Alligator mississippiensis: one gene and its partners. The protein of the gene in region 2 purifies or fractionates together with the protein of the main gene of each other region. This does not show direct contact. Links are inferred from orthologs where the notes say so. Each region holds a gene or a part of one and is shown on either strand. Other genes may lie near its edges.

Region 1 (10,228 bases), about 210 Mb from region 2:
TGAATAATTAGAGAAGATTGTATTTAGCTTTTCTTCTCCATTTCTAATCTAAAACACCTGGCAGGGATTCCATGAGAAAGATCACAGAACCTCGGTTACATTCCTTCATTCCCTGTTACAGCACCACATTACCTGGAACTTACTTCCCAAAGCAAGCTGCAAGGCTGGATATTAGTGCCGAGTTTAAATGAGAAGCATTGGTGTTATGGGCTATGGAAATCAAACTGATATAGCTTTGCTACGAATTTTTTAAAACTAACTTAGGAAGCTAGTTGCTGCAGTGAATTACTGCATCTAAACTTGACCTTGGTTTGAATGAATCATAGACAAAAAGAACAAATTTAGGAGCAGGGGTATTATGCTTAACTATTAACCATGTACTACCCATCTGCCTGCAATCAGAAAGCTACCAAAGAGTTAGTATGACTGAGAGCCCCTGCTTTGCTGTCCTGCAGTTCAGTAACAATAAAGCTATTGCATATCAGGAATGAAATATATTTTTCTCACTCTTCAATTGTATTGTAGGAAGTTTGCTAGGCTTTAGCCACATCACCAGAGCTATTCCAAGATTCCCCCCAACCTTTTTTTGCTCTACTATAGAATTCTTCCCACCTCCCACACACCCACAATTTAAGAGCTATACAGAAACAGCTACTATTTTTCCACTCTGACCAGTGACTCCCTTCACTTTGGTTCCACCTCTGACCCACATTACATCCCCTAACATCTCAGAGAACTTTAGAGGTTGATAAGTATCATCAAAATCTTACAGAAGGAATGACTGAGACAGAGATTAAAGATCTGTTCAAGGGCACAAGAAAGACTATGACAGTATAAAAGTTGGAGCCCAGGTCCCTGACTTAGTTCTGTAATAGAAAAAGAACACAAAACACTAAGCCACTGGATCTCAAAGGTAGAGAAATGTTTTATAAGTTATGTCAAGAGGCACAAAGACAAAAAAACAAACAAACACACATTCAAACAGCTGAGTATTTGTTCTAATTCTTTCCAACTGACAGTTCTACATAAAAAACACAAAAAGGTATAGTATACTTAATGTCTGCTAAGCCAAGTACTAAATCTTCTCACTATATAAGAATATGCCAATGTTCCAAATCTATTCATCTACTTACTCATGATGATCTCAGTCTACTATTAACTGCGCTAACCCAAACAAATGTCATTTATGTAATTAGTGGTGCTCAACCTATGGTCCACAGGCCAGATCCAACCTCCAAAGCAACTGGGTCTAGCCTGCAGTACAGCAAATCAGTGTCACCCCGGGTTCAGCTCTGCACCCACAGGGACAAGGGCTGTAGATTTGGTAGGAAGGAAGAAGTGGAGCTGGAGTAAGGGGGAGCTGTGTTGCACAGGGAAGAGCACTGCTAAGCCACACAGCCCCTGGCAAAGGCACCCAGCCAGGCACAGGTACAACAACCAGAGTCATCCATGATACAGCAGGAACCTGGAGTCACTGCTTCAGCCTGCTAGGGCCTGGTGATAAACAGCAGCATGAGGCACTCTGCCCAGGGTTGCTGAAGCTGAAGGGCACTTAACACTGCTCTGGGGCGGGTGCTTCTGGCATGGCCCCAGGATCCAGGGATTAACCCAAACAAGCCCAGCCCTCTAGTTCACTATCCTTTCTTCCTAGGGCCGCAGCCACTAGGTTATCCCATGCCAGGCCCAAGTCCACTTGCCACACAGGAACTGGGCTTCCTGGACCACTGCCACTCCACCCCCATGACTCACAAACCACCATCACTGCTGCCCAGGGTAGGTCTGCACTGAGGGAAACTAGTATTAATGGCCTCACTGACCATAGCAAAGGAAAGGGGCCATGGGTGCCACCATAAGCACTGGCGGGAGTCCCCAGACTCTGCTAGTGATCATGTCAGAGATGAAGTAATAGGGAAAGCCAGGGAAAACCCAGGGCCTGGCTGGTAGCTGATACCCTCAGCACTGGGCAGTAGCTGCCAAGAACCCAGCCCAGTCAAGTAGCCAGTAGCAGGCCAACACCCTACCCCCTGGTTCTCACAAAGCAACTGCTTCAGTGGCAAGGAAGTTGATTTCTCCCCTCTTCTAAGAGGGAAAGCAAGCAGGTCTCAGCCAATAAGGCTCAATGACAGCAGGTCTTTTGCTGGCCATCTTGACAAGTGGATTGGGGTGGAGGAATGGGAAGAACCTGTCAATACTCTTCTAACAAGAAGGCAGTGCCATATGTGGAGCAGGCTAGCCCCTAGACCCTTCTGCCAGGGTGACTGATGAAGCCATAGAGAAAGCTGTCTGCTGGAGAGCTGAAGGGAACCTCCAAGACAAGAGTCCTTTGCAGCAACATTGCCCGTGTTCTACCCCCAAACTCCCCAAACAGTCACGGAGGTAGCAACCATGTAACCCTCTCCCTGTTTAAACAGCAGTGGTGACTACACAATAAAAAGGCAGCACTGTACCCATACACACTCTGAGGATTTTCTTCACAGGTCAAAGTTTTATTTTTTAAATATATATATTCCACTGCTCCTTTCTCCTAAGTTAGCAGACTTTCTAAACCTGTCAATAAGTGAAAAATAAGTCACAGCTACTTTAATGTTAAATGAGACTTCTAATAGTTTATAAGTCACGCACATATAAAAATAAAGGCAATTTTGTTTTAAACCTTTGGTGATCAGTTGAGAAATACAGGGCAAAGGCAAGTTTATAGTGCAATATTTTTGAAGCCACAAAATACTCTCATCAGTTACAATTCGGATGAAGCCTTTTTGTTTACTGAACTAAATGAACTGTGGTATCAGTTTAAAGCCTGATTTTAGATAAAACTTTTAACATGCAGGGCTTATCCACTCTGTGTGAATATGAAAAATCCAATTAAAAAAACCCCATATTCGCTCTAGACAGTGTAAGCCAACTGTTACGCTCCATAGGTGCCTGCATATTATGGTGCTTGTCTTATTATACTGTGTTTAGTGATCTATAAGAAATGGTATATTAATGTGAACTATTAGAGAGCCCTGTGCACACTTTTAACCAGTTTGCATACAATAGTAACTTCTTTCCAGCTTGCCTGGGGTAGGAGCAAGCTCCACAAGATGAGACCCTGATAATGTTTTTCTTTGCTAGATCTCTGCAGGGTATCCCACTGGCTTTCAGGTCTTAGACAACACCTTTAGATGCCCTCTCCAGGAGAATTTTTCTAGCAACCAAGAACTGGAGAGGACTTTCTTCAAACCAACCTCAATTCTGCTTCTAGAACGTAGGAGGTCACAGCACAGCAACAAGGGACTTTCCTTCTCCTAATACATCTTCCAGTCTAGGAGAGTAAAGTTCACTATCTCTACAGCACTGTCAACATCTGTCCACTCAGGGACAAAGTCATGATTGAATCCACATCTTGCATGGTGTTACAAAATAATGAATTTCAAGACCACAGAGAAAGACAAAACCACTTTAAACAGAACTGGAGAATGTGTACTTTGCTTAACCCGACTTAGCAAGACAGTACTCTATTCTGCTTACTTGTTTAAAAAAAAAAAAAAAGGCAACTTCAAGAGTTTGAGAGTTAAAACCTCAGCTTCTAAAAGCACACTGTGCTGCCCAAGGAAAAAAATGCAAACATGCATGTGATTTACACTTGTGTGCTCTACATCCAACATTGCCTTCCAATCTCCTCCACTTAAACAAGGACTGCAAAATTACTCATATGGTCACATGAATTTACCTATCCCTCCCCCTCAATAACACTGTAACAAAAGTATGTCCTATTAAATGAGAATTACCTTCCTCCTGAATATTCTTGCATTTCTAAGGCTCTGGCAAACATAAAGTATCTTTCACCAGCATACTCAAGTTCTGTATAATTAAACATTTTTAAAGTCCTCCTAAAGCAGACACTTTTTTGTTCTACCTACATCATGTTTGGAGTAGGGTATCCCATATCAAGTCTCTGTTATGCTCTAGGATTTGATTTCGTGCTATGTAAATCTTAAGTTTCAACTAGTTTAGATGTGATATCCCATACGATAAATGTTAAGTATCATAAGAAAGCTCAAGCATTCAGCATTTTTATGGTGGGTTTGTAGCCTCTGTTCACACCCTGACAAACAAGCTGCAGCAGCAAGCAGCTGTTTTCAGAAAGTTAGGAAAAAGAAAAATAACACCTTATCAATCTCAGCACAGTATATACCACGTGGTGCTCATCGCATGCTAGATATGCTCTACCCCAGGGATGGGCAATTGTTTTGGGCGGAGGGCCGCTTACTGAGTTCTGGCAAGCCATCGAGGGTCGCATGATACGCAGCCAGGGGCAGATAAATATTAATTTTCTAAATTTTTTAGGGGCCCTGTGGGCCAGATAGAATGGCCTGGCGGGCCACATCTGGCCCCCAAGCTGCATTTTTCCCACCCCTGCTCTAGCCTATGCCCTTTTAACAATGAAAAGTATCTTGGGGAGCCTGTGGCAATCCCTGAAACCTCACTGAAGCAGCCTGCAGAAGTGTTGCAACAGTTCAACTGTGCAGATTCACAGAAGCTTAGGGTTGGAAAGGACCTTGTGATTTTAGGATTGCCAAAATGCTTTCTTGCCAGGAAGACAAGAGGCAACTTGACCTAGATTAACCCCCCCCCGAAAAAAAACAACAAAAAAAACAGACCAGCAGCTCTTGGAAAACCAAGCAACAGCCTTCAACTACCTGAAGGGGGGTCCAAAGAGGATGGAGCTAGACCAGAGGTCCTCCAACTGTGGTCCGCAAGCTCCATTCAGGTGGTCCGCAGAAAGGCTGCGGAACAATGGGGGATATCTGTCCTTGGCCTGGCACTTGATTTATTTTTTCTTACAACGGAGATTAAGTCGGTCCACCGAGACCCTCAGCAATTCTCCAGTGGTCCGCAAAAAAAAAAAAAAAAGTTTGAGAACCACTGAGCTGGACTGTCCTCAGTGGTGACAGAGGACAGAACAAGGAGCAACCATGTCCAGCTGCAGAGAGGGAGGTCGTGGTTAGATATTAGGAACAACTTGCTCACTCGGAGGGAGGGAAGCACTGCAACAGGCGCCCAGGGAGGCTGTGGGATTTCCATCCTTGGAGACTCTTAAACCCCGCCTAGACAGAGCCTTGGCTGGGATGATCTAGTTGGGGCTGGTCCTGCAGAGGGTGGGACTGGATGCCCTCCTGAGCGCCCGTGGCTCTCCTGGAGTAGTTGCAAAGGAGAGCTGTCAGGAGAGCCGGCAGCCCGGCGGGGGCTCGCACGTGCGCTCCTGTGACTCCAGCAGAGCGGGCGGCCGCGGGGGGGAGGGGCGGCCGGGGCTGGGCGCGCTCGGGGGGGGGAGCAGCCCATGGAGCACCGGCTGCGCCCCTCGCCCGCCCGCGCGGGACCTCGGGCAGCCGCGTCCTTCCCGCCGCGGGGTCCCGCCGGCCTCACTCACCTGCGCGGGGCCGAGCAGCAGCAGCAGCAGCGCTAGCGAGAGCGGGGCGGCGGGCGGGCGCCGCATGACCAGGCAGGGGCTTGGGCTGGGCTAGGACAGGCGACGCAGCAGCCGAGCCGAGCCGAGCCGAGCCGCGCCACACAGATGCGGAAGGGCCGACTCAGCTCAGCACCGCCCCGCCGGGGGCCCCGCAAGGCGGCGGGAGGCGGAGCCCGCCCGGCCCAGCCAACCCCGCGCCGCCGTCGCTGCCTCACGCCACCAGCCTCGGCGCGGCCTAGTGTTTGCCTCCCTGCGGCGCGGAGAGCCGGCGCAGGGCGTGGGGCTATGGCCGGGGCGCTTCCCGCAGCCCTAGCTCGCCGCCCGCCGCGCCGGAGGCTGCTGCAAGCCTCTGCCCGCTCCCCACAGACAGCCCCAGACTCAGGCACCTCCTCTCGCCTGTCCTGTCAGGCCTCAGCGCCCCTGCGTGTTGCGGCGGCTTGGGTCTCCCCTCCCCGCTAAGCACTGACCCCCTCCTCTGCCCAAAGTTGCCACAGGCTTAATGTCATGCGTGGGATTTGCCCCCTTGGGCAGATCTCGGATTTTGGCAAGGTGGTGGGGTGTGGCTGCGGCCGTACCTGGTCACACAGCAAGCAACCCAGCACATCCACAGGTAGAAGGCAGCACCCGCACACAGCATCACGCAGACCCCAACAATCAGGGGCTTCATCACTTAAAATATAACAGCAGGACGTTGCATGGAACGCGGCACCCCAGCGCATCACCGCGTAAAATGTGACACCCAAGGATGTCAATAGGTGGAACACAATACCCCAGTGCTCCATTGCAGAGAACACAACATCCAAGGACATCGTCGCAAACAACACAATGCCCAAGGACATCAGTATATGGAACACAACACCCAAGGACATCACCACATAGAACGCAATACCCAAGGACGTTAATAGGTAGAACACAACACCCAAGCATGTCATCCCGCAGAACACAACATCCATTTTTCTCCAGTCAAAAGAAACTAGAAGCTTACTAATATGCAAGGGGCCCAGGGCTATATCACTCTGTTGAGGATGGAAGCAAAAGGAAAAAAAAACACCAACATTATTGGTATGGGCACTCATTTGTTAGATCAAATATTATATATAAAAGCCCAACAAGCTAGGCAAAATCATCAATAGAAGTTCTTTCATTAGTCATTAGAATTAAATGTGCAGCTCTTTTTCAGATTCAGACCTTCTTCAGCATCTTAATGATGCATCCACTACTTCACTAGAAGTTATTTCCATACCTGAGTTAACATTTCTAGCTAGAGTTAAAAAGCGTCTGCACAGCTACTTTTCCACCCCATCACCTCAAGGAAATGTTTTTCTTTATAAAAAATGCTTTTTTGAAATATGATACAAAAATCAGAAACACGTATATCGACTATACCTGTAAAACTGAACTGTGTCACAATAAGCAATACAAAAAAAGGGGGGGAAAGGGATGGAAAGAAAGAGAAGTGTGCAATGAGCAACAATTTAGCTACCAAAATAGGCCAAGAATTCCTTCCCGATTGCACCAAACTTTTCAAAGCCATCAAACCTGCTAAATATGACCCTCCCCATAGATGCCAGCTGCACCATCTCATTTTACTAGTTGCTTGCTTTATTGTCAGGGCACAGAATTTCAGTTGCTCATATCGTTTTAAGTAAATTCTGTTTTCTAAGTAAAATGGGGTTTACAAATATTTCATATTTTTTGTAAGAAAATGTATTTAAAATATATTTGTGAGGCACAAGTGTCAGCTGATGGACAACTTAGTGGCATCAACATCAAATAGGAATCTAGCCAATTAAAGAGCTTCATAAGACTGTGAGCAATGTGCTGACAAACTAGTTGGCATATGGACCCAGGTAAGTGACTTAGGTTATCCAGCCCAGGAATGAAAAATAAATCAAAAGGTGGCCAAAAATAAATCCATGACATGTTTCAAATCCAAAACGGCACTTCCTGGATGTTCACAACTTGTGCTATAAGTCTTTCATTGTCTTATTGCTGAAGGATTCTCATCTTGAATAAAGCAATAAACAAACAAAATAGCGTAATCCAGAAATGGCCCACACTGCACTGCCAATTGGGAAGCATTAATTATTCAGCCTACTCACTAGGAACTACCTTGCCTAAAACTTAAAAGAGTTCATTTTATTTTGGCTGAATCTGGTGTGCCCTGACTCAGGTTCTGTAAGCCACGACTGTGTTAGGCCTGCCTCTGCCCAGAAATAGCTGTATTTTACTTGTGAGTTTGCAACATTTATATAGTAACTTGGGATCCTTTGCGGTAAAGAAACCTAAATAAATTATGGTATTGGGTGACAGCATACCGTTGGCGACAAGCTTCTAAATAATTTAAAATGAGCTTGGATAGAATATCAGTATATTTTTAGAAATATATTTCCACAATCCCATGCAAAGTGGGTCATATGACTAAGTTTATTAGTATATTTTATTACAACTATCATTAGTAATACGTTTGTTATATTATTATATTAATTACACTATGTTGACATCATATCTTCCCAAAATAGCTGGAATTATTTGCTACCATGAAATTGTGTAACGCTCTCAGTTTTACTGGGTTTATACCACAGAATAGTTTGCTCCAAAGACATTGCTTACATAGGTGTAAAATATTCACAAACTGCTGACGTCAAGTAGCATGATCAGTGTTGTAATCGTCTGAGACTAAAAGAGTTTCCAGTCTGTTAATGTTTGTTATCTGTCTCAAAGGAAACCACTTTAATTATGAGATGGTGTGACATACTCACACAAGCTCCTGGTTCCTATGGCAGCCTGCTGTTGTGTGTGAATATTTAATCTAGGTGATACAGCAAAAAAAACCAAACCACAAAATAGTCCAGATGTTTGTTAATATGACAAACCATCGCCATCTGTTGGCAAAAATGTTAACTGCTGTGTATAAGTGCTAATATAAATAGCAGGGGTATAGGCTGTAGCTGTCTGTGTTGGTCTAAGGACACAGGCAAACAAGGTAATTTGGGTAAACCTGATATCTTTTATTAGACCAACTCAGATAGTTGGAAAAATTCTTCTTTGCAAGCTTTTGGGTATAAATACCCCTCCTCAGGCTGAGGAAGCATCATTCCATTCATGAAGAGCGCACACCAACTGTTGGTGCTTCCTCAGCCTGACGAAGGGTATTTATACCCAAAAGCTTGCAAAGAATTTTTCCAAGTATCTGAGTTGGTCTAATAAAAGATATTAGGTTTACCCAACATAAATAGCAAATGGCTCAGATGATAATTCTTATGTTTTCACTTTTGACTTCATACATTTTTTTTATCTAACAAAACATCACTCAGCTCTACACTGAGTGGTCCTAGAAACCTGTGGATTGAAATATAACAGAGTTATGCAAATCCTAAATGAGAAAGGATTTAAAATTGGCATAATTTTCATAGGTATTTGCCAAGCTTACAAAAGTTCTATTTTGGTGTTACAAATGCCTGTGTCTTCAGCTGAATAGAGACGGCATAGTCTTGTCTAACAAATCATAGGAGGGCAAATTATTAAGAAATCAGAGAAGAGAGGGAAAGCTAATGGAACTTTTTCAAGGTGTACAGTGCTGTAATCAAGAACAGTTAGCCCTGCAGATTGTTCTCATCTTGCACTGATATTTTTCAGTTTAAATCAGATCCGTAAGATACTTTTTTGAGTAGCCCATATTCAGTCTGAGATGGATAACATTATATTTGCTAATGTCTTCTGATTGATGCCTACATTTTAAAGTCTATTTGCCATTATACATATTGCCAAATTGAGAGGTGTTATTCCAGTGTAATGTGTAAAATGATGTTTGCTATTTGGCTGTGTACACATCAGTAGTATGTTCCTTCCATTAGCTGCTCTGTAATAACCTTCCAGATTCAGGTGGCATGGTTTTACCTTTCATTACGCTTGCCTCAGTGTACCTAATACTTCAATCAAGTTCTGTTAGCTTCAAAGTTGCTAACTGGGAGCAACAAGCCATACAGAAAAGATTGAAAGAGGATACTATCATATTTGCTAATATCCTCTCATTGATGCCCATATTTTAAAAGTCTGTTTGCCATTACACATATTACTAAATTAATAGGTGTTATTCCAGTGTAATGCCACAACAAGCTGACTGACCTTTGTACACAGGCAAGCTAAAATAAGTGCTATATATATTAATAGTGATTTCCATATTCCAAGTCTAAACCAGTGTGAGCTAGAGAGTTCTGAAGTCCTATGTCACAGCCAGAATGGAAATTAAAACATGTTCCTCTCCTTTAATATTGTTTCCACAAATTCTGAACATGCAGAAGAACCCCAAGTGGCTGACAGCATGGGGAATGTATACAGGGTCCTCTTGGATGCACAGTTTTGTTGATCTGAATATTACTTTTCACTCGTATTCAGGTCAGTCTCAAAATAGCACCCTTACTGTGCAGTAAGATTTAGCATGGAATAGTTACTGTAATCTAACTGCATACCCTCACTTGTTTTGTAGTAGTTTACCTGTGTGGGTAGGCAACCCCTGATGCTGCCCTTAAGCAGTGCACCTCCTTCCCCTCCCCACCCTTGCTCAGCCAGTCTGGAAACTCAACTGACTAGATATTTTTTTTTTTGAATAGAACCACAAATACATTTAGTGAAAATAATTCATTACAGTCTTAAAAATGGAATAAATCAGAAGATTTGCACACACTGGAAAATTCAGTGCATGTTCACTTGACATGTATCTGCATAGTAAAACATGTTAGAGCAACTGTTATTTTTCTAGTAATTTATTAATAT
Region 2 (10,228 bases):
AGAAGAGGCTGGCGCTGCTGGGTATGTGGCGGACAGGGCCATCTGGATCCCAGCTACAGGGAAGATGGGTGCAGGGGGTGCATAGCTCCCGACCCCACTAGTGCACTGGGACTGGGAGGAAGAGCAGCTGCAGCCCTGGCAAGAGCACATGGGAGCCAGTTGCCCCTGGGAGGGGGAAACGGAGCAGGGCTGTGCCCTCTGTGAAGAATGGGAGGGCCGAGCCACAGGGGCTAGCGTTCACAATGGCCCTGGGCAGCAGGTAACAAGAGGATGGGAACACTGTTGGGCCAGCAGGTGACCCCAAGAGCACCCTCAAACACCCCTACAATCCTCCTACCTCCACCCCATGGGGCAGCACCCTGGATGTTACCAGTGAAGGTGGATGCTGGACCGTTTCTGAGTTCTTTGCTTCATGGAGAAGCAGTATGCAGCCTGCCACCGCTGGGTGGGTGGCCATGGGACTTCACTGCTGCCCCCCCGGTCAGCCCTGTCCCGCTTGGGGGTCAGGATGTGCCAGTCAGGGGGTGCCCAGGTTGTGGGGGTAGGACATATGACGGCTGTGGGGCAAGGCCTCACAGGAGGCAGAAGGGCAAGGGGGATGGGCTGGGTCTGCTCTGCCCAGGCGACAGCCCCTGGGTGAGCATTGCCCTTCCCCAGCCTGGACATGTGTGCAGACCCAGAGTAAGGCTCTTGGTGAAGGCAATGGATGATGGTTCTGCCCTGACAAGGGGAGGGGGCCTCTGCCACCTCTCCCCCCTCCCCTGAGCTGTCAGAAGGCATTACAGCGCACGCTCATGGACAGCTGAGATGCATATGCACACGTGCGTGCCTGGCTGGCACCACAGGGCTCCTAGGGGCACTGGCTGCACCGACAGGAGGCAGAGCTGATGGCAGCAGTGGTACTCCAGGAGATCGAGTGTGGGGCCAGGTCATTGACACCGAGGGCAGGAGGCCAACCCTGGAGCTGGTCCAGGGGGTCTTTGTATCAGACCCTGCTCTTACGCAGATGGAAGTGTCCAGCACAGGGCTGTTACAACCTGTGCCCCCTGTGCTCCTCCCCAGCTGGCACACCCATTTCCTGGCCGTGCTTCTTTCCTGGGAGCACCTCTGGCTGGGCCCAAGCCCCACCCAGAGTGTGCAGGACCCCTGGGGACCCCCGCAGGGCAGCCAGTCTGAACAACGGTCCCTCCAGGGAGGAGCAGCTGGGCGTTCCCAAAGGCTGATCTCCTTCTCCAGCAGAGTCCGGCTAGCCCCCAGAGCTGGACGCCCGCTGGAAAGGGGCGCATAGGTGATGGGGCAGGGATGCCCTAGTGTTATCCAGAAGTGGCAGGGGCAGGGCATGGCCCCCAGCACCCAGACCTCAGTGGGCAGCGCCGATGAAGTAGGTGCTGGCTTCAAGGAGCAGCCCCTTGGCATAGACACGGAGGGTGTAGAAGAAAGTGAGGAAGTCCTGAGTGCTGAAGATGGTGTCGGCCAGGGCGAAGGTCAGTGTGGAGGGGATGAAGCCCCGACCGTACTCCACCATCCATGTCCCAGCGCTCCACTGCACCGCTGTGGTCTCGCCCATCCGGTGCACGATGGTGTCCCCTGCAGGCAGATGCACCGGCCATCATTTTGGGGGGTGGTGGAAGGGCAAGGAGAATCCCCACCTGCCAGCACTGCCCCTGGATTGCCTTGGTGCAGCTGTGTGGGGGTCCCAGGAGGGGCTTGGAAACAGGGGGAGCTCAGCACTCCAGAGGAGAGGCGAGCACTGGCGGGGGCAGCTAAGGCAGGGGCTGACCTGGACTGCGCCTGGTCCCAGACAGCACAAACCTGCTGTCTGCTACACAGTCCTGGAACAGTTCCTTGCCCTCCCTTCCAATATCAGGCTGGCTGGAGCCCTGATGCTAGGCATATAAACCCTCCTGGGGTTGCCACTACCTCTGTCAGGACTTCAGCTTTCCTCAAGCACCCCCTCCCCTGTCAGCATGCTCTGCAGTTATATACCTCCTGCATATATTGCATTTACTTGCCTCGCTGGGCAGCTGTGAAGAGCTCTCCAGAGACCCAGCACCCCCTCCCTGCTTACCCTGTTCCCCCAAAGCCCTGAGGTGACCCAGCCTCAGAGTACAGGCGTGAGGGGCCCCCCACACTCACCTGGGTAATACATCTCGCTTTTGGTTGACCCCTCCTTCCACTGCCGGAAGGTCCCTGAGATGATCGTGTCCGATATATCAGCCCAGTAGCGACCTGCAAGAGAGATTTGGGTCATGCCAGGGCTCTGGGGTGTGGCCCCAGGCTCCCTCTGTCCCATCCAGGCGCTGGATCAAGGTGCTGGAGGGCACGTCTGAGTTGATGGCAGGCTCAGCCATGCAGAGAGGGAGCAGAGCTGCTGGATCAACTGGTTGATTGCAGTCCTGGGCCTGTGCCAAGCCCTGCTGGATTGGGACTAGCCAGGCGGGTTTCTTGGTGCTGAATCAGCCTCTGGCAGGGCAAGGCCATCCAAAACAATCCTTGCCTCAAACACATTTCTCTGCTCCAAAGTCCTTGGCAGGTGAAGCTGGCGTAACTTTAGGGGAAGGGCCAACATGTCCTGCCAGCTGGAACCCAGGAGTCCTGGCTGTGCAGAACAGAGCAAGCCAGGCTCGGGTGCCAGCAACGTCCTTTAGCACCAGTCTCCCTCCCTGCACTGTGCCACCAGCGGTCGGTTCCCCGCCTTGGACCATCTCAGAACAGCCTCCCTGCTCTGGGGAGACAAGCCTGAGTGCCCATGGGGTTCCCCTGGTACCCTAACACCACCTCCCACACGTAGGTGACCAGGCCTGGGCACACAACGCACCAGGGCAGCTGCCGAACCGGTCACTGCAGTCATTGCCCAGTGGGGCCGATGCCTCGGGGTCTAGCTTCGTATTTCCCTATCCCAATTGCCCACTTGTCTCCATAAGCAGTTGCCCCAGCTACTGGTGGGACCAGTTGTTGCTCAGGCACTGTGACTGTGGACACTGGTTGGAGGAGACAGGGAACAAGCCAGTGTGCAGAGCCCCAGGGCAGACCCAGTTGAGCAGGTCCCCATTTGCTGGCATGTCCACTCCCAGGCTCTGTGGCTCGCCCCCCTTCTCCCTTCCTAGTGAACTGCCTCGCAAAGACCTGTCCCAAACAGAGGGCTGGGCCCATGCAGCAAAGCAGTGCCCTGCAGCCTGGCTTACATTATAGAAAATGAGGGCTGGAAGGGACCTCAGGTCACATCTAGTCCAACCCCCTGCTCCAAGCAGGACCAACCCCAACTACATCCTCCCAGACAAGGTTTTGTCTACCCGGGTCTTGAATAGCTCCAAGGATGGAGATCCCACCACCCCTCTGGATAACTTGTTCTAGTGTTTTACTGCCCTCCTGGTGAGAAAGTTTTTCCTAGTATCTAACTTCAACTTCCCTTGCTGCAGCCGCTGGCGCAGGCACAAGACCTGGTGGCTATCAGGGAAGGGGGTGGAAGCGACTGCTTACCTGAGTGACCCCCGGTGTCGATGGCGGTGCCGAAGAGCAGTACGTACTCGGTGAGCGAGGCGTGTAGCAGGCACATGGAGCCCATCCAGCCGCCTGCGTTCACGAACACCCACTGCAGGTCCTCGTCCGGCAGGATGTGGCCTGGGTGCCTCCGCCGCAGCTCCATGATGATCTTGGAGAAGGCCAGCTCATGGTCCAGGCCTACGGCACAGACACGGCTGGCTCAGCCTGGCTCATGTCCAGCGTCTCTGAGAGGCCCCTGCTTCACTTCCATTTCCTGCAGGCTCCACCTTCCACACCCTGCCAGCTCCTGCCCCTGCCAGCCCAAGCCACCGAACTGAGTTCAAACAACTGTTGGAGACTGGATGGGGGGAGCCGGACCTGCTGCCCTTTGCACCGGCTGCTCTTTGCAATCACCCTGGGCTCCCCCTGCCATCCCTGGGGCTCACTGCTCCACTGTGAGCGGGTGCAGGCTGTGCGCTGTGCCCTGCCTGGAGCAGTCCTGGGCTCACAGGGGATGCCCTCAGGCCTCCTGGGCAATCGCAGAGGGCACCTGCTGACCCCCAGCCCTGAGAGACCTCCTGCAAAGCCCCTTGTTTTGCCTGCCTCCATGCACTAAGGCTCCGCCACCAGAACCCCTTGCACCCTTGTGGGCTGCAGCTTCCAGCCCCTTCCAGCCATGCACCCCAGGCTCCTCCCAACCCCCTGCACCACCCCCACCCTTCCCCCAGCCCCCTAGATCAGCTCTTACACCCCTCCCCCAGGTCCCCCCAGCCCCTTGCACCTCTAGATCAGCTCTTACACCCCTCCCCCAGATCCCCCCAGCCCCCTGCACCTCTAGATCAGCTCTTACACCCCTCCCCCAGGTCCCCCCAGCCCCTTGCACCTCTAGATCAGCTCTTACACCCCTCCCCCAGATCCCCCCAGCCCCCTGCACCCCTATATCAGCTCTTACACCCCTCCCCCAGATCCCCCAGCCCCCTATATCAGCTCTTACACCCCTCCCCCAGATCCCCCCAGCCCCCCTAGATCAGCTCTTGCACCCCTCCTCCAGATCCCCCCAGCCCCCTGCACCCCTATATCAGCTCTTACACCCCTCCCCCAGATCCCCCCAGCCCCCTGCACCCCTATATCAGCTCTTGCACCCCTCCTCCAGATCCCCCCAGCCCCCTGCACCTCTAGATCAGCTCTTACACCCCTCCCCCAGGTCCCCCCAGCCCCCTGCACCCCTATATCAGCTCTTGCACCCCTCCTCCAGATCCCCCCAGCCCCCTGCACCTCTAGATCAGCTCTTGCACCCCCTCCCAAGTCCCCTGGCCCCCTGGATCAGCTCTTATACCCCTCCCCCAGGTCCCTGCAGCCCCCTGCACCGCTAGATCAGCTCTTACACCCCTCCCCCAGGTCCCCCCAGCCCCTTGCACCTCTAGATCAGCTCTTGCACCCCTCCCCCAGATCCCCCCACCCCCCTGCACCCCTATATCAGCTCTTACACCCCTCCCCCAGATCCCCCCAGCCCCCTGCACCTCTAGATCAACTCTTACACCCCTCCCCCAGATCCCCCCAGCCCCCTGCACCCCTATATCAGCTCTTACACCCCTCCCCCAGATCCCCCCAGCCCCCTGCACCCCTAGATCAGCTCTTGCACCCCTCCTCCAGGTCCCCCCAGCCCCCTGCACCTCTAGATCAGCTCTTGCACCCCCTCCCAAGTCCCTTGGCCCCCTGAATCAGCTCTTATACCCCTCCCCCAGGTCCCTGCAGCCCCCTGCACCCCTAGACCAGCTCTTGCACCCCTCCCCCAGATCAGCCCCTGGACCCCTCCCCCAGGTCCCCACGCAGCCCGAGCCGGGCCGGGCCGGGCCGGGCCGTACCCGCGTGGTGCCGGGCGATCTGCGCGATCTCGTCGGGCTGGAACTCGTAGCGCTTGGAGCCGAGCCAGACCCGCATCCCCTGCAGCACGAGCGCCAGCGCGCCCAGCACCAGCCCGGCCCGCAGCGCCCGCGGCCCCAGCACCCACATCGCGCCCGCTCCGCTCCGCTCCGCTCCCGACCCGCTCTGCTCCCGCACGGGGCGGCCCGGCCCCAACCGACCCGGCCCGGCCAGGCGGGGCGGCCCCGGCCTCGGCCCCAACCCCGCCCCGCCCCGCCGGGCTCAGCCCCGCCCCGGCCCGGCCACAGCAGCAGGAGCGCAGGGCGCGGCGGCCCCTTTAAGAGGCGCGCGGCGCGGGGCGGAGCGGATGGAACGTTGGGCGCGCGAGCGTTCGGCGCCGGAAGCGGGAGCGGAAGCAGCATGGAGCGCGCGGCAGGTACTGCCGCTGCCGTCAGCTCTTGGGTTCGCCTGATGCCGCGCTGGGGCCAGGCAGGGCTTTCCCCCCTGCTCAGACTGGGGCGGATGATGGAGCTGGGGCTGGTCCTGGTCCTGCTTGGACTGGATGGGACTTGCTGAGCTCCCTTGTGGCTCCCTGCCAGGGACCTCCCACCGCTGCCTGTGATTCTGTGGGTGTCTGTGACCCCCCTTTTCTTTGCAGCAGCAGGACGCTGGTGGCTGCGGCCCCCCTGCTTTCCCTGGGCAGGGTCGGGGGCGATGCCTGGGGCCGACTTCGTGCTCAGAGGTTGGGCAGTGGGTTTGTCCGCGCTGGTTTGCACAGGCTTGATCCTGCCTCAGGTTGGGCTTGGGTTAGAGGGGACCTCTGGGGACCCCCGAGGGTGCTGTGCCCTCCCCCCTGCCCCCACATCCTTTACCCAGCCTTGTCCCCCAGCAGCAATCCTGCATGGCTGCCTGCTGTGCTCAGGACTTGAGGAACTGGGGATGCCAGCCCTGCTGCTGTGTTGCACAGCTCCTCTGCTGCTCTGGCTTGTTCCCCTTCTCAGCGGAGTACTTGCCCTACCCCTCACCCCTAGCTGTGTCTCCAGACCCAGCGGGTGGCAGCAATTACACTGCCCTTCAGGCACTAAAACCCTGTTCACCACCAGTAACCTGTGCCCAGCTCCTCAGAGTCGGGTCCCGCATTCTGGCTGATGGGCCCATGCACCTTTGCAGCACGGACGTGCCCCCAGAGGAGAGCGGTGTGAGGTGACAGAAGCCTCCCTGCTTGTGCTGGCAGTGCCAGGCGTAGTGCCTACAGCAGGCTGCCAGGTGGAGAGGCTTGGAGCTTGCATGGGAGACAGCCCTATGCACCCCTTCAGGTGTGGGATAGGAGGAAGGTGAAAGCCAGTGAACTCTGCTGGAGACTCCCTCTGTGTAGGTCGCTAGCTGATATTTTGAGCCTTGGCCTAAGTGACTTGCCCCAGGTTATGTGGCAAGTCGGTGGTAGAGCCAGGGAGACCACCCAGGAGTCCTGGCGCCTGGCCTGTGCTGAGATTGCAGTGGGAACCCGTGCTGGGCTGTGGGTGAAGTCGGGCAGGTTTGAGGTGGGGGGGGTCTCTGTACTTCTGCTGTGTCCAACAGCTCTAGCAGCACCGGGGGATGATGTGTTCAAGCAGCTCCACTCCCCGCTCACAACACTGCTCTCCCTTCCAGAGCACCAGCACATCCGCTACAACCCTTTGCGGGACGACTGGGTCCTGGTGTCTGCCCACAGGATGAAGCGCCCCTGGCAGGGGCAGGTGGAGAAGCCGGTGCAGGAGGATGTGCCCCGCTATGACCCGTCCAACCCGCTGTGCCCTGGGGCAACGCGAGCTAATGGGAAGGTAGGAGACTGGTGCAGGGGCTTGGGGTATGCTCAGGGCAGAGACACTTGGACGTGCATCCTGGGCATGGGGAAGTGGTGTTGGTATTCCTGCATTACAGAGCACGTGCTTGTCCTGGGCTGCGCTCTGCAGAACCCAGCCTCGCTGTTAAGGGGCCTGATCCTTCCAGGAGCTGGCGCTGGAACCCTGGAGTCCTGATTGCCAGGACCCTGGCTCTGTCCTCTGGGCTTTGCTCCTGGCATCTGGGAGTGACAAAGGAGTTACCCTGTGCCAGGGGCTTCACAGATGATTCTGACCCCTGGAAGCGGCTCTCGAGTAGCTGGCTGGTGTCTCAAACTCCTTCGCCTAGTGGGGTAGGATCAAGTGTGCGGTCTTTGGTGTACATGGATCCATGCCCAGGGAGTCTGGTGTGGTCCCTTGGGGGACAGCACGGGGACACAGACCCTCTCTTTCCCATGGAGGAAGCCCCATGACTTTGCTAGCACCCTCAGCAATGTGCTCCTGGAAAGTGTCTGCAACAGCCACCCATCTGTCCCTCTTTGGCGCGGTCTCCAGGTCGCGGCAGGACTGAACAGACTGAGCTGCCCCTATGGGGGCTCTGGTGGGGACTGGGAATCTAAGCCATGTTGGAAGCCTGTGGCCAGCACTGGGATTCCCTCTGTGTGCCAGTAAAGGTCTAAACTCCTTTGTGTTAAATCCACCAGCCCGTAGCCATGCTGCGGTCACCCTTAGCCAGTGTCCTGCTGTCCTGGAACAGCCCCAGCTACGTGTTGGCTGGAACTTCTTTGTGAGCACCCCCAGGAGGGAGGGAGTGCTGCGGTCAGCTGGTTAGAGTGGGATGCTAATAACTCCAAGGTCGCAGGTTTGATCCCTAGTTGGACCAGGTGATCTCTCAAGGTCCCTTCTATGAGAGATGGTTCTGTGATGATAGCATGATGTGGGCACCCGGGCTGCTAGAACCCTACCCCTGCCTGCCCTCGTCTGGCTGGTCTGAGCAGATGTTGCTGACTGCAAAGACACCCCTGCCCTTTTTCTCCCCCCCCCCTTTTTTTGTCTGCTTCATCACCTCAATTTCTGCTTAGACCCTCTTCTAGGAACTTGCCTACAGGCCATTGTGTTGCAGAACAGCATTGTATTGCAGAACCTCTCCCTTTTGTGATGGCAAGTAGCCCCTTCCTGGGTGGGGGGGGCTTCTGCAGACTCCCTGGAGCCAGAGGCTGGGGCTGCAGTCTCCTTGCTTTTGTCCGGCCCCTGGCTCCTGCATTAGCATATCAACACTCAGCATGCCACAGCCTGAGGGAATTGGCTCGTTGACCCTTGTGCTTTGTTAACCCAGGGCTTGTTGGAAGTTGGGCTGGGGTTTGGATGTGCAGTTGGAATGCCTAACCTGCCTTCGCCTGTTCCCAAAATGGCATTGTGATTCCTCTGCACCCGTGGTGGGGTACAGTGTCTTGGCACATGCAGACGGGCCTGTTTGATGTCACCGGCAGCACAGGACCTATTACAGCTGTTGCTGCTTGGATTATTGCTGGGGTGGGAGAAACCTCCCTGTGGTTCGTTGTCTAGCTGTAATTTGATAGACAGACAACGCGAGTAAAGAAAGACAGCTGTTTATTTGCTCCAGCAAAGACCATAAAGCCAGCAAAAGGCAAAATGGCCCCCCCTCAAGGGTGAGGCGATCTTTTGTACTTATAAGGCAAGACTTACAGGGTTAACAGAAGCAATACTTGGGCGGTGCTTTACAAATCTTTGTAACAGCATATTTCTATTAAGCTGAACTAGCACTCTTTAAAAGCTAAAAGTTAATTAACAGTAACATTATAATATGTTAGCAAAACCTTACACAGTAGTAGATACTTCTCAAGGACACAACCACTGCACCCAGAACAATGGTTTCCCTGTCTTATCTTACTTGCTGTAGCTGATTTTTCAGCGCACAGACACAGATCCACTTTTTAACTCGGAAAATGCTTAATACAGTTAAAATGAATATTTGATACAAGCAAAGACTTAGCTATCATTCTGCCTTGTGGTCAGCTGCATTGCTAGGCCACAGGTCATGCCTTGTATTCAGCTGTAAAGCTAATACTACTTAATAATCCAAATTATTGTTAACCTAACAGTATGCTATCAAAAAAACTATTCTATTTCAGGGTAATAACAAGCATGCGCACTACATTGCTAAAGCTTTGCAAGATGCTTTTCCCCCCAGAGAGGCTGGCTGCAGTTGACAGGCCTTGTGTTGGGGTTGTGGGTATAGGCAGCATTCAGGCTTTGTGGCGTGAGGGGTGTCCTAGCTGAGCCCAGGCTGGCACTGCCCGAGTGGCCTGTCCTCGCGGTCTTGTTTGGGTAGCACTGTAACGGCTGGCACGGGATGAGCACTCTGCTGCTTGTCATGGCAGGTTCTTTTGATACAAATGTGCTGTTGGCTAATGGGAGTGGCAGCCCCTTAGCTCAGGGTGCTCTTCCCTCATGTGCAGTCTCACTTCCTCCATGTACGTGGCTCCCGGCAGGGACGGATGTGTTATTTCCACACATGGGGGCACATGCTGCTTTCTTCAACCCATGAAGATGTACTTGTTGAATTGCCACATGCCATTGTTAAGTAGGGGGCTTCTCTTTCTCCTTCAGCTGGGGATACCTCCTGGGCATGCGGAGATTTGCACCCTTTCTTCCCCTCTGTAGTGGTGCTGATGCATGTTCTTTAAACACCCCTGAACTTCCTTCAGCAGCTGGGAGGTAAAGGGGCTGTGAAATTCATAGATGTTAGGGCCAGAAAGGATCTTGATAGATTGAGTCTGACCCCCTGCATAGGCAGGAAAGAGTGCTGGGTTCAGATGACCCCAGCTAGATGCCCATCTAACCTCCTCTTAAGACCCCCAGGGTAGGGGAGAGCACCACCTCCCTTGGGAGCCCGTTCCAGACCTTGGCCACTCGAGCTGTGAAGAAGTTCTTCCTAATGTCCAATCTAAATCTGCTCTCTGCTAGCTTGTGGCCTTTATTTCTTGTGACCCCCAGGGGTGCCTTGGTGAGTAGAGCTCACCAATTCCCTTCTGTGCCCC
Region 3 (10,228 bases), on a different chromosome or scaffold from region 2:
TTTCCCACATTTGTCTGTTGTTGTCTGTCACTGGGACATATAGTATATTTAATCTAACCTAGTTTGTAATAGACTCTTCTACATTTCAAATGTGCATGAGACCCAATACAGTAGCCAGAGCACTGAAAGCACATTCAGTAAGTAACTCCATAACAACTGGATTCCTATGGCTTCGATCTGCAAGACCTCCCAATCCAAGGATGGAAAGAGATTTTGTTCAAACAAGTTCTGTGACAGTTGTAACTTAACCACTCTAGCCTGCATGATGAAACTTCAGGCCGACAGCAGACAGGTCCATTTTGTGTCCGATTCAGGGCTCAGATGAAAGGAATAGATTAAGCACGCCAGATACACCCCCACACCAGATCACTTCCAGGCTTTAGCAAACAAAAAGTTGTGAAGGAGAGCGCAGCGTACAGAATTGCTAGTGCAAGTTTCCCAAGTCCACTGTTTAGACCTACTCTTCAAAACGCACTTCAAATGTCAGGAACATTAAAGAAACAAACAAACAAAAAAAGTATTAGTTATGACTTCATGGAAAAAATTTTCACAGGATTTCCATTTTTTTTTCTTATGTTTTATCATTGAGACATTTCCATGGAAACAAGTTTTTTGTTTCTCAGGTATCCACCTATTCCTGTTGTTTATCCCCTAATTTGAAGTCACAATCCTCTGTGCCATGGAAATGACCGAGTCCCTTAAAGATTCCTACTTGACATGGGAAATCATCTGCTCCTGTTCCTGCTGTTTAACTGCTAAGAAACAAAAAGACCTGTTTCCAAGCAGGCCTCCTTAAATAATGGGAAGGGGAAACAAAACAGAGGATGTATATGAATGGTTACAACATGCATCCCTTTAGGTTACCCAGACTTATCTGGAGCCAATCTGAGTGAACAAGAGCAGCACTGAAGGGGAAGCAGGACCTTTGCGAAGCAGCCCACTGGCATCTGAAGTTCTATGGCAGTTGAGAACAACAGATGGTCTAAGACTGAGGAAGAAATAATAACATGGGATATTGTTGAGTATTACCTGAGCCCTGCCAATCAGCAAACGGAGGGAGGCAACACTACCAAATTATACGGGAAATATATTCTAAAGATGCAGGGCAACAAATATTGCACCAAAGAGATGCTGGCATAATGAAACTGTCATTAAAAGCAGCCAAGCATCTGAACTTAATAGGAATCAAAACTTATAAAAGTTTGCCCAAGGTACATATATATATATATATATATATATATATATATATATGCCTCTGAAAAAATGAGGAGGAACTGCAGAAAAGAACAGTATTTCTAATTTAGAGCATGCAAAAACTTTGATGGAAAGACAGCAGATGAAAAATAATTCAGCATGTGAGATAGAGAGGATAATACCACTTAAATTATAAATGATATTTCCAGGATATATAGTTATAGCAGTATCAGAATGTTACTTTTTTCAAAAGCATTCAAAATAAATGCTTTCCAACTGGGATCTATGTCACTGACTAGATGCCAACACTACATATTTTATACTAGGGCTGTCAAACATTTAAAAAATTTGATTAAGATTAGTTGCACGATTAAAAAAAAAAAACTAGTCGCAATTAGTTGTGATTTTAATCGCACAGCTAAAAAATAAAATTATATGCAAAAGAACTCAAAATTATGCAGGACTTTGTATGGTTGGGGGTGCGTGTGGAGGGCTGTGGGTGTGTGTGTGGAGTTTGGAGCCTGAGGAGGGGGGATCCCTGCATGCCTTGGGAGGATGCAGGGTGCTGTGGGGCAGGAGTGAGGGGCAGCAGCAGGGCTGGGAGGGCTACGGTTTGGGAATGAGAAGTACAGTCACAGACACATGCACAGCGCCTGGAGGCTATGTCTGTGGAGGGGCGATCAAGGTTCCTACAGTGAGGGGCTCCCTGCCACTGCACGCAACTGTGGAGGAGGAATAGTGGGCACATGCCCCCTGATTTGTGCATGGGGCAGAGCTGGGGTTAATGGGGCCATGGGGCCAGGGCAGGTCACGGGACAGTCACAGGAGGCTTGTCCAGGGGTGCCCGGGGGCATGGTTCCCTGCCACTGTGTGTACCCCCAGGGGAGGCATGGGGGCCACCCCCCCCACAATTTGTGTGCGGGACAGAGGCAGGCTGCCGCTGCAGGTTGGGGCTCTATGCCTTTCTGCCTTTGCCCCAGGAGCTGCAGTATGCCACGATGTGCGTCCGACAGCTGGGAGGGTAGGGAACATGTGGCCAGCATGTGGCTCCCTGGGCAAAAGCAGCAGAGTGCAGAGTCCCAGCCCACAGCGGGCAGCCTACCTCTGCACATGACCCCTATCCCTCTCCCACGGTTGCATGCAGCGGCAGGGAGCCAAGCCCCCGTGCACCCCTGGATAAGCCTCTCGTGGCTCTGGCCCACAACCCACCCCGGCAACAGGGCCCTATTCACCCCAGCCCCTACCCCACTTCCTCCCTCACCATGGGGTACTTCATCTGCCATGCCCCTTCCTTTTCCCCCTACCTCTCCCCCGCTACAGAATTATGGTGCAGCACTGCTGTACACACAGCGTGCAGGCCGCAGCTGCTGGTATGCATCTGTCCTTGCACCTCCCCCCACACCCCATGCACTGCAGCCACTTGGGCTGCCCTGCGGTCTTTTGTGCTGCCACCACTGTCCCGCTAGGCAACCTGGAGTTGGTGGATTGGAGCCCAGAAGCAGGCTCCAAAACCATATGCGCAATATAAAAAAATTAATGCAGGAACTGATTAACGCATTAATCGCACACATTAACTGTGATGATAGCCCTATTTTATACTTCTTGTTGCTATGTACATGAAATATGAAATCAAAAGGGATCCTGTCAAGTTAACAATTCTGTTTAGCAAAATGAATACAAAACTTCTAATGAGTTGCACTTTGTTATATCTGAGATTATAATAAACTGAAGGAATTTTTAAATCAAGTTTGCTTTTCATTACGAATTCTATTGTATTTAGTTTCTGAACCCCCCTCAACTTGAGCAATGAAAGTGAGTTCGATCACTTTCTCATGTACTAACACAGCAATTAAAATTTAAAAAAACTGTCATTAACAGTAAAAGCATCAGGAAACCTTTCTTTTCAGACTGTTTGTAACATGTAGCCCACACAAACAACAAAACACCAATATGAAAAATAAACTGAGTTCCCTGAACTTTAAGTGTGATAAACATGTGGTCAGAAATCACTTTTTTGCCCCACAAAAAACTATAAGTATATTCAGTGCTGTAGCAACAAGGTTTGGTGCCTGGGGCAAAGCCCGTAGCGGCAGTCCACTCTTGCCCCAGACACAGATCTGGGGGGGGCACACCCTCCCCTCTATGCTTACTTGGGAGTGCATGCAGTGGCAGGAGCTGCCCTCCCCCCCATCCCTGTGCCTCCCCATACGAGCTGCTTGCAGTTCTGTCCTGCACACTGACCCGGCTGGGCAGTGCCTCTTGGCGCCCCTTCATTTTGGTGCCCAGGGCGGTCACCCCACTCTCCCCGCCTTGCTAGGGCACTGAGTTTATTCCTTGATGTTCATTTTATGATATTCATGACATGTACATAACTGAGGCAATCCAACTTGTTAATTATTAAACACATATTTATCTACTTGTTAAGGGACAGGGGATGGATGAAGAGAAACAAACAGGTTATGCTTTAACTTGCTCTTTAGACAGACATTCCAGATTCCTGTGTTTGTATGTTGCTCTGTCCTATACACATTTCAGTTATTCAATCGGTGGTTCTTACAGATAGTTTGCATTTTAGTGTAAAGTACTATCCCAGCCTGGATCCATGAACCAATACACAACCTTATTTAATTTCTTCATAGACCTGTGCTCAAGAACCTGACAGAAGTTGGAGGCCTACATTTAAAGGGTGCTTTGGGATCCACTGAAATTAAAGGTGCTTCACAAATGCAATGTTATTGTCAGTATACAATGTACAGTGAAACCATATGAACTACAACCCATCAGAAAATAAACTGAAGAGATGGAAATAACTAAATCACATTTTATCCTCTTTGTCTTCCATCCAAAAGAGAATAAATTCAGACAGAACTTGGAACAACACTTATCCAAAAGCACCCTTGCTTGCTTGCTTTGTTTTTTGTTTTTACCTGGGCACATCCAAGGAATAAAGCAAAACTGCTTTAACCAGTTTGATAACACAACCCGGATATTTTTCCTGGCAGTAGAGCATGAAGGAATTAACTTACTAAAAGCAAACATTCTTTAAGGAGTTGATGTGGACAATGGATAAAGATCTCTATAGGCTGACCAAGGAGATTTTGCTTGACACTTCTAAACACAATAAAGAAGTATTTAGTTTATTTTGTGCAGATCAGGAAATGCTGAACAATCCCAGAAGATAACCTGGCTATGCCAGCCCCATCTGACACACAGGGCTAATGTGGGCTGAACACCCATGGAGCAGTGGTTAGCCCCTCCCTGTTATTAGGGAAGTCTACTGGGTATAGGTCAAGTTGTTTGGGGGTATAGCTAAAGAGAAAACGGGATAGGAGTGAGATCATTGCTCAATACAAGCGCGCCAAGGTGGGACAGTGAGCAGGGCAAACGGCCAGTGCCCAACAACCCTCAAATGAGTCCAAGAAGCCAGTGGGCACTTCCCAGTGAAACTCTGCCCAGAGGCACCAACCGACAAGGGACAGGCCTACAGGCCTATTTGCTGCTTTCAAGGGACTGTGGGCCATTGCCCACCAAGAAAAACCATACACCTCCCTTAAAAAGGGAAGCCCCTGAGAAAGTAACAATTCATTTCTTGGGAGAAAACACAAAAGAACACAGGGAAGGAGGAAGATCACAGGTTCAAAACATGAGACCCGGATGAGCCGAGCACACCCGACGGTGCCCGATGCCCCGGCTCAGAGGCAGGAACCGACAAGGGACAAGACAGCGCCCGGGGGCCCTTCCTGTCAGCCCCGCCCGGCTGGGCCGCGAGGAGGCCCCCAGCTACGCCCGGCTCTTACGCCCCACAATCCCACATCGGAGCTAAACACGCGCTACAGCAAACCCCATTCAGTTGCCTACGGGATGTTTTGCTCCCGGGGCTCAATTCGCTGCCGATGCAGTCGCTCCCGGGGACCCCCGGCCCCGCTGCCCCCATCAGAGCTGCCCCGCGAGCGGCCAGGGCGGAGCGCCACGTCCCAGCCCGCGGGGCGCTCCCCGCCGAGCCCAGCACCCGAGGCCGAGCCCTCGGCGCCCGCGCTGGATCCAGCCTCTCGCCGGCGCCGCCCCGAGCCCTTGGCGGACCCCACAGAATAGGAGAGGACAGGACAGGACAGGACTCCCCGCCGCGCTCACCTGTGGGGCTCGGGCCGCTCCCGCTCGCGCTCGGCCCCGGCGGCCGTCACCTGACTCCCCGGAAGCCCGCCCCGCCGGGAAGGGACCGGCCGCTCCGCCGCCGCGCCGGGCTGCAGCGCTGGGGTTCCGCGGGAGCCGGGGCCGGGCGGAAGTCTCCCCCTCATGGGGCTACGGAGGAGCCGCCACCTACGGACGGGCAGCGCCCGGCTCCATTCCGTCCCTTTCCACAGAGGAGAAGGCGGGAGACGGGGAGCAGGCGCCGGGGCCGAGGGAAAGGCCCGAGCCTGCAGCGCCTGGGGAGGGAGCAGCAGCCGGCGGCACCTGCGGCACCTCCCTGCTGCCCCGGGGCATCCCCAGCCCCGAAGGGATGTGCACAAAAGCAGAGCGCTGGGGACAAGGGCCTTGGGGTGACCGTCACCTGGCTGAGGGGCGGCCAGTGCTGCCCCGGCGGCCGGGCCAGGGCTCCTCAGAGAGGCACCAGACCCAGTCTGTGGAAGGGCAGGATGGGGGCCTCTGAATGAGAGCTTCCCTCCTCCATCAACCATGGAAGCTGCAAGTGAGAGAGAAACAGTGGGAAAACCCCTGGTTATACCCAGTCCTCTCTCCCTTTCAGCATCTGTGCTGCCAGGTGACAAAGGCTACTGGGCTGGATGGCCCTGTGGTCTGACCCGGTAAATGGCAATCCATGTCAGTGTTCTTATGCATGTCTAGAGCACGTGCCAGAAGGAGGCCTGAGCCAGAGGCACTGCCTGAGACTGACCCAGGGACTAAAGGGAGAGCTTAAAACCACACAGGCCCAGTGTATGGATTCAAACACAGCAGAGCAGACTGCGTAGCCCCCAGCCCAGAAGCAGGGAGGTCAGCATGGCCAGTTATTGCCCAGTGGTCACCCTCAGCTCCCTCTGCTGCTTGCCACATTGCCCCCAGCAGTCTTTCCTGCCCAGAGTAGGAGGGCTGGACCCAATGCCCCTTCTAGTCCTAACCTTCTGTGAACCTGTTAACTTGGTGAATCTCTTGATAAGAGCTGTGACATTTAGTTGTGCCAGGGAAGGAAGCCATGCTAAAAGCCTTAGAATTGCCCTCAGTAAAAGTTTCTAAGTCCACAGTGACAGTATCACCAAAAAAACCTAGATTGGGATATGAATGTATCACACTAACAACTGAGGTGGAGATGTGAACAATATCTAGAATGGAGAGCTATGCTATTACAAAAGTTTTAATCCTGCCCTACATCATAAAGCTCAGCTAGTTACCTTGGTTATATTTGCTCTGTTGGAGAATTTGTCAGACAGTCAAATCTAACATCTGACTCCCCACGTAAACCCTCTACTTTACCAGCTACTCTCATTCCCTTCCCCCCTACCCTCCTGTCTCCCATCCTTTCACTACAGCTATATTCATTCCCCCTTCCCCTCCCACCTGTCTCTCACCTACTGACCACTTAAATTTACATTTAACTGACTAGCTTTCTTGCATAAAAGTACTGGTCTCTGGCTGCTTTACCATGCCATCCAGGAAGAACACAGACCATCTGCAGATGCTTCCTCAGTCTGACAAAGGGTGTTTGTGCCCAAAAGCTTGGTAAGAAGAATTTTTCAAACTATTTGGGGGAGGGGGGGGTGTTAATTTTCCATATTCCAAGCCAAATTAGCCAAAACAAATTCCAAATTCAAGAGTTGGTCCAGAACCATAAGTGTCCCTACTACCAGCAAACATCTTCCACCCACACCTGGGGCTTCAGATGTTTCCAAAACCTTTGGCGGGCATCCTACTTGCAAGCCCAAGCCCAGAGGCTTGGGGTTCAGATGCCCCCAAGTTTTGCTTGCCCTCAGCCATAGGACCTCAGGGGCAAGCCAGGGAGGACACTTAAATTTCCATAAAGTGGGCTTAAAGCCAAGACCTTCCCACTCCAGCAGCTAAGTGGGAGGTTTATTATACATTACCTTGGCAAGTACTATCCCTGTGCCAGGAGAGCAGTTTTCCCTAGTGTGACTAGGAAGGACTGCCTCCATAGTCATGGTGTTTCTCTTGCCAGGCAAGCATAGGTCTATGCTTGATCTGAGCCCATAAGAGTTGGTCTAATAAGAGATACTGGATTTACCCAAAGAATCTTGTCAGACAGGCCAAACTCCTGTATTCAAGTCGAGTCCGTCCCAAGGCTGCTGCGATTGTTGGAGCACCTTAGATGCTGTAACAACCCTCCTTTACTGCACTCTGTCTGGATGCAGTCGTAGACCCAGGCCTCGACCAATCTGGTATGAGATTAATTGAGTTGATTTGCATCATTGATTATTCATTGGGCAAAGTGACCTGCTGGCACCCATCTCCTCTCCAGGTACAGATAGTTGTTGGCTTGCAGGAAGCTCATCCACCTTTGACAGGTCTTGTTTTCAGTCCTGCTGGGTGTCCACACACCCTCCTCACCCAGGCTAGCACAGGTGGGAGTGCTCGTTTAGTTGACAACAACCCGACCATAGAACAGGCTGTACTGGTTTACATGGTACCAGATAGAAGGCCAAGAGAGGTCTGGCCTAACAGGAAACTCCTGTATTACAGTTGTAATATTCTGAGAAGCATGAGATTGGCTTGGGACATCAGTGTTTCAACAACATTTCAGTACTTGGATGTTATATCAAATTAGTGAGATGTTACACAGGCCCTGAAGGTATTTGTGGGATTATGAGATCACCCTATTAGAGCTGGAATGAGCCAGGTGGCAATCAGTGCAGCTAGTTACTGCTGCAGAAATTTCTTATTGAATATTGTTACAAAATAAACAGATTTTCTGTAGTATTATGAGCATGAAAGTAAGTAATGTGCTCAAAATGTTCTCTGTTGCTTTGACATTTTGTGGTAACTATACAACTCACTTAAAAGCAACTTTAGACAGCTTACTGAGGGAATCTTGTCAATGCAAATGATAGTTGCAAGTTATAATGTTAGGCTATCTAAAGAATGATTCTATTTCTGCCTCACATAAATATTTAAAATACACTCTCACTATATACATCCATAGCATTTACTCACTAGATTACTAGCCAACATTTATTTCTTAAACTAGAAGAGATTCAGAGTTGGACAGCAGTATGATAAGCATTCTTTCCTTACAAAAAAGAGGCTGAAAAAATTAAGCAAGTTTAGAGACAAGGTTAGTAAAAGGAGACAGTAATTTTGAACCCTGAAGAATCTGGAGAGGATAAATGAGGCTTTCCCATCTATTCCCATAATAACATTTGCAAGGAGCAATTAAATGGAATAGCAACAAGTTAAAAAATGTTGAAAGGCAGTATTTTCCTCATTGAATACAAGTTGGATTCAAAGGATTACCATGTCATACGTTTGTAAAAGCTTTCAGATGAACACTGGATAGGGTAAACATATATAAGGGGTACAACCCCATGTTCCAGGGCATTTGACAGCCTAAGATTATAGGAAAGTATGTGCCACATCTACTAAATCAGCCCTCATGTGTATTGCTATGCCTTGATTTCCTTCCTCAGGGTGTGATACTCAATAGACTGCCAAACAATTCAAGGTAAATAATCCTTCACCTTGTCAGGGCTCTTTCAGGGTCTAGCATCAGTGCTTTTCCACTGTCATTCTTCCCAGTATTCTCCCATACTATTAGTATTTTTAGCACAGTAGTATATTCATGGCCTCATGTAAACACAATTGACAATATCACCCTTTTTACCCTACATCTTTTCAACAGCCATGCTAGCTCATCTATTTCCAGTCTTTCCTTGAACCTTTCTTTCTAGGTGGACATGGAAAGCCTTCTCCAGGAACTGTTACTCACTTCATGAATCTCTCTTGGCCTGAAGGATCTTACCTGTTTCCTGCAGGTGACATGCTTGCTTTCAAACATTTTTTCTAGGATGGCAGTTCTTATCTGCCTTTTTAATTATATTTCCAAGCACTGCCATAATGACAAGCTTACAACAAACATCCTGAACAATTTGTCCTATATAAGCACACATTACAGGTTTCTCTCACTTTATGCAGGTTCTGTATGCAAATTTGCTCTTATGTGATGACCCTTTTTATACCAAACATTTGTTATATGCAATGTAAATTCACTGTTATGCATCTGCATGGTGGAAACCCACAGTCAGCTGTTTTCTGCAGTGCATTGTGGGAGTGACGAGCACCAAAATATAGTCTCCTGTGTGGAGCTGTGTTCCTTGCTTGTTATCTGCAACATATGTTTCTGTAGTTGCCATCCTTATTATAATAATGCCCTGTGCTTGTTGTGTGTACTGTCTTCTGTGGGAAAGTACCAAAATTGTCTTGTAAAAGTGGTAGAAATGGGTCTGGGAGTCAGTACAGTCAAGGTCTTGGAACATATCCCTATTTGCTACATTGTAAAGTGTGTTCCCTTTATGCAAATTCAAGTTATACACCATTTTCCAGGAACACATGTACAGCATAAAGCGTGGGAAACCTACATATAAATGTCAGATTAAAGTTTTTTACACTATGCTCTGAAGTATCTGGTACTCCTCACTGGCAGACATAACAATGGACTAAAACTTCTATCTTGATTCATATGTATTATTAGGAACATAAAGATTTCCATTAAGAAAGTGTAAAACTACCAGGTAAAAGAAATAGCTGCATAGCATACTGTGAGTCATTAGGAAAGGTCCAAATACAATTAAACGTATTGACTAAAAGAGGCTGGGAAAGCAGTTCTCCACTGTTTTCTGTCTTCAAATAATTTGGTTCTTTTTAATTTTGCTCTTAAATGTTAGCATGTTTGGAGTCCCTGGAACGCAAAATCCCATGTCTATGTGCATGCTAGTTACAAGAAGCACAGGTGGTGACAATGTAGACTTTCTTTGCATGGAAAAAATATACCTAATGTATTTCTTCATACATGGATTAATGACTGTCTACCTGT

What was found. Proteins that work in one complex are often made in the same cells at the same time.
Region 1: the proteins of SIGMAR1 (region 2) and NPC1 purify together in Homo sapiens (affinity purification with mass spectrometry; 3 studies listed by BioGRID and IntAct, with this or other methods). This does not show direct contact. The link is inferred for Alligator mississippiensis from reciprocal best matches to the Homo sapiens genes SIGMAR1 and NPC1.
Region 3: the proteins of SIGMAR1 (region 2) and RNF185 purify together in Homo sapiens (affinity purification with mass spectrometry; 3 studies listed by BioGRID and IntAct, with this or other methods). This does not show direct contact. The link is inferred for Alligator mississippiensis from reciprocal best matches to the Homo sapiens genes SIGMAR1 and RNF185.

The regions. Positions count from the first base shown.
Region 1 is NC_081826.1:86,881,353-86,891,580, reverse strand, and holds the start of NPC1 (NPC intracellular cholesterol transporter 1), read right to left. Parts: upstream 5,560-10,228; 5' UTR 5,480-5,559; coding exon 5,414-5,479; intron 1-5,413. UniProt on the Homo sapiens protein: Intracellular cholesterol transporter which acts in concert with NPC2 and plays an important role in the egress of cholesterol from the endosomal/lysosomal compartment.
Region 2 is NC_081826.1:300,002,821-300,013,048, forward strand, and holds the start of SIGMAR1 (sigma non-opioid intracellular receptor 1), read right to left. Parts: upstream 5,578-10,228; 5' UTR 5,497-5,577; coding exon 5,349-5,496; intron 3,682-5,348; coding exon 3,481-3,681; intron 2,230-3,480; coding exon 2,137-2,229; intron 1,588-2,136; coding exon 1,361-1,587; 3' UTR 1-1,360. Other genes in the region: GALT (galactose-1-phosphate uridylyltransferase), read left to right, coding at 6,061-6,088, 6,997-7,166. UniProt on the Homo sapiens protein: Functions in lipid transport from the endoplasmic reticulum and is involved in a wide array of cellular functions probably through regulation of the biogenesis of lipid microdomains at the plasma membrane.
Region 3 is NC_081833.1:20,565,771-20,575,998, forward strand, and holds the start of RNF185 (E3 ubiquitin-protein ligase RNF185), read right to left. Parts: upstream 5,490-10,228; 5' UTR 5,326-5,489; intron 1-5,325. UniProt on the Homo sapiens protein: E3 ubiquitin-protein ligase that regulates selective mitochondrial autophagy by mediating 'Lys-63'-linked polyubiquitination of BNIP1.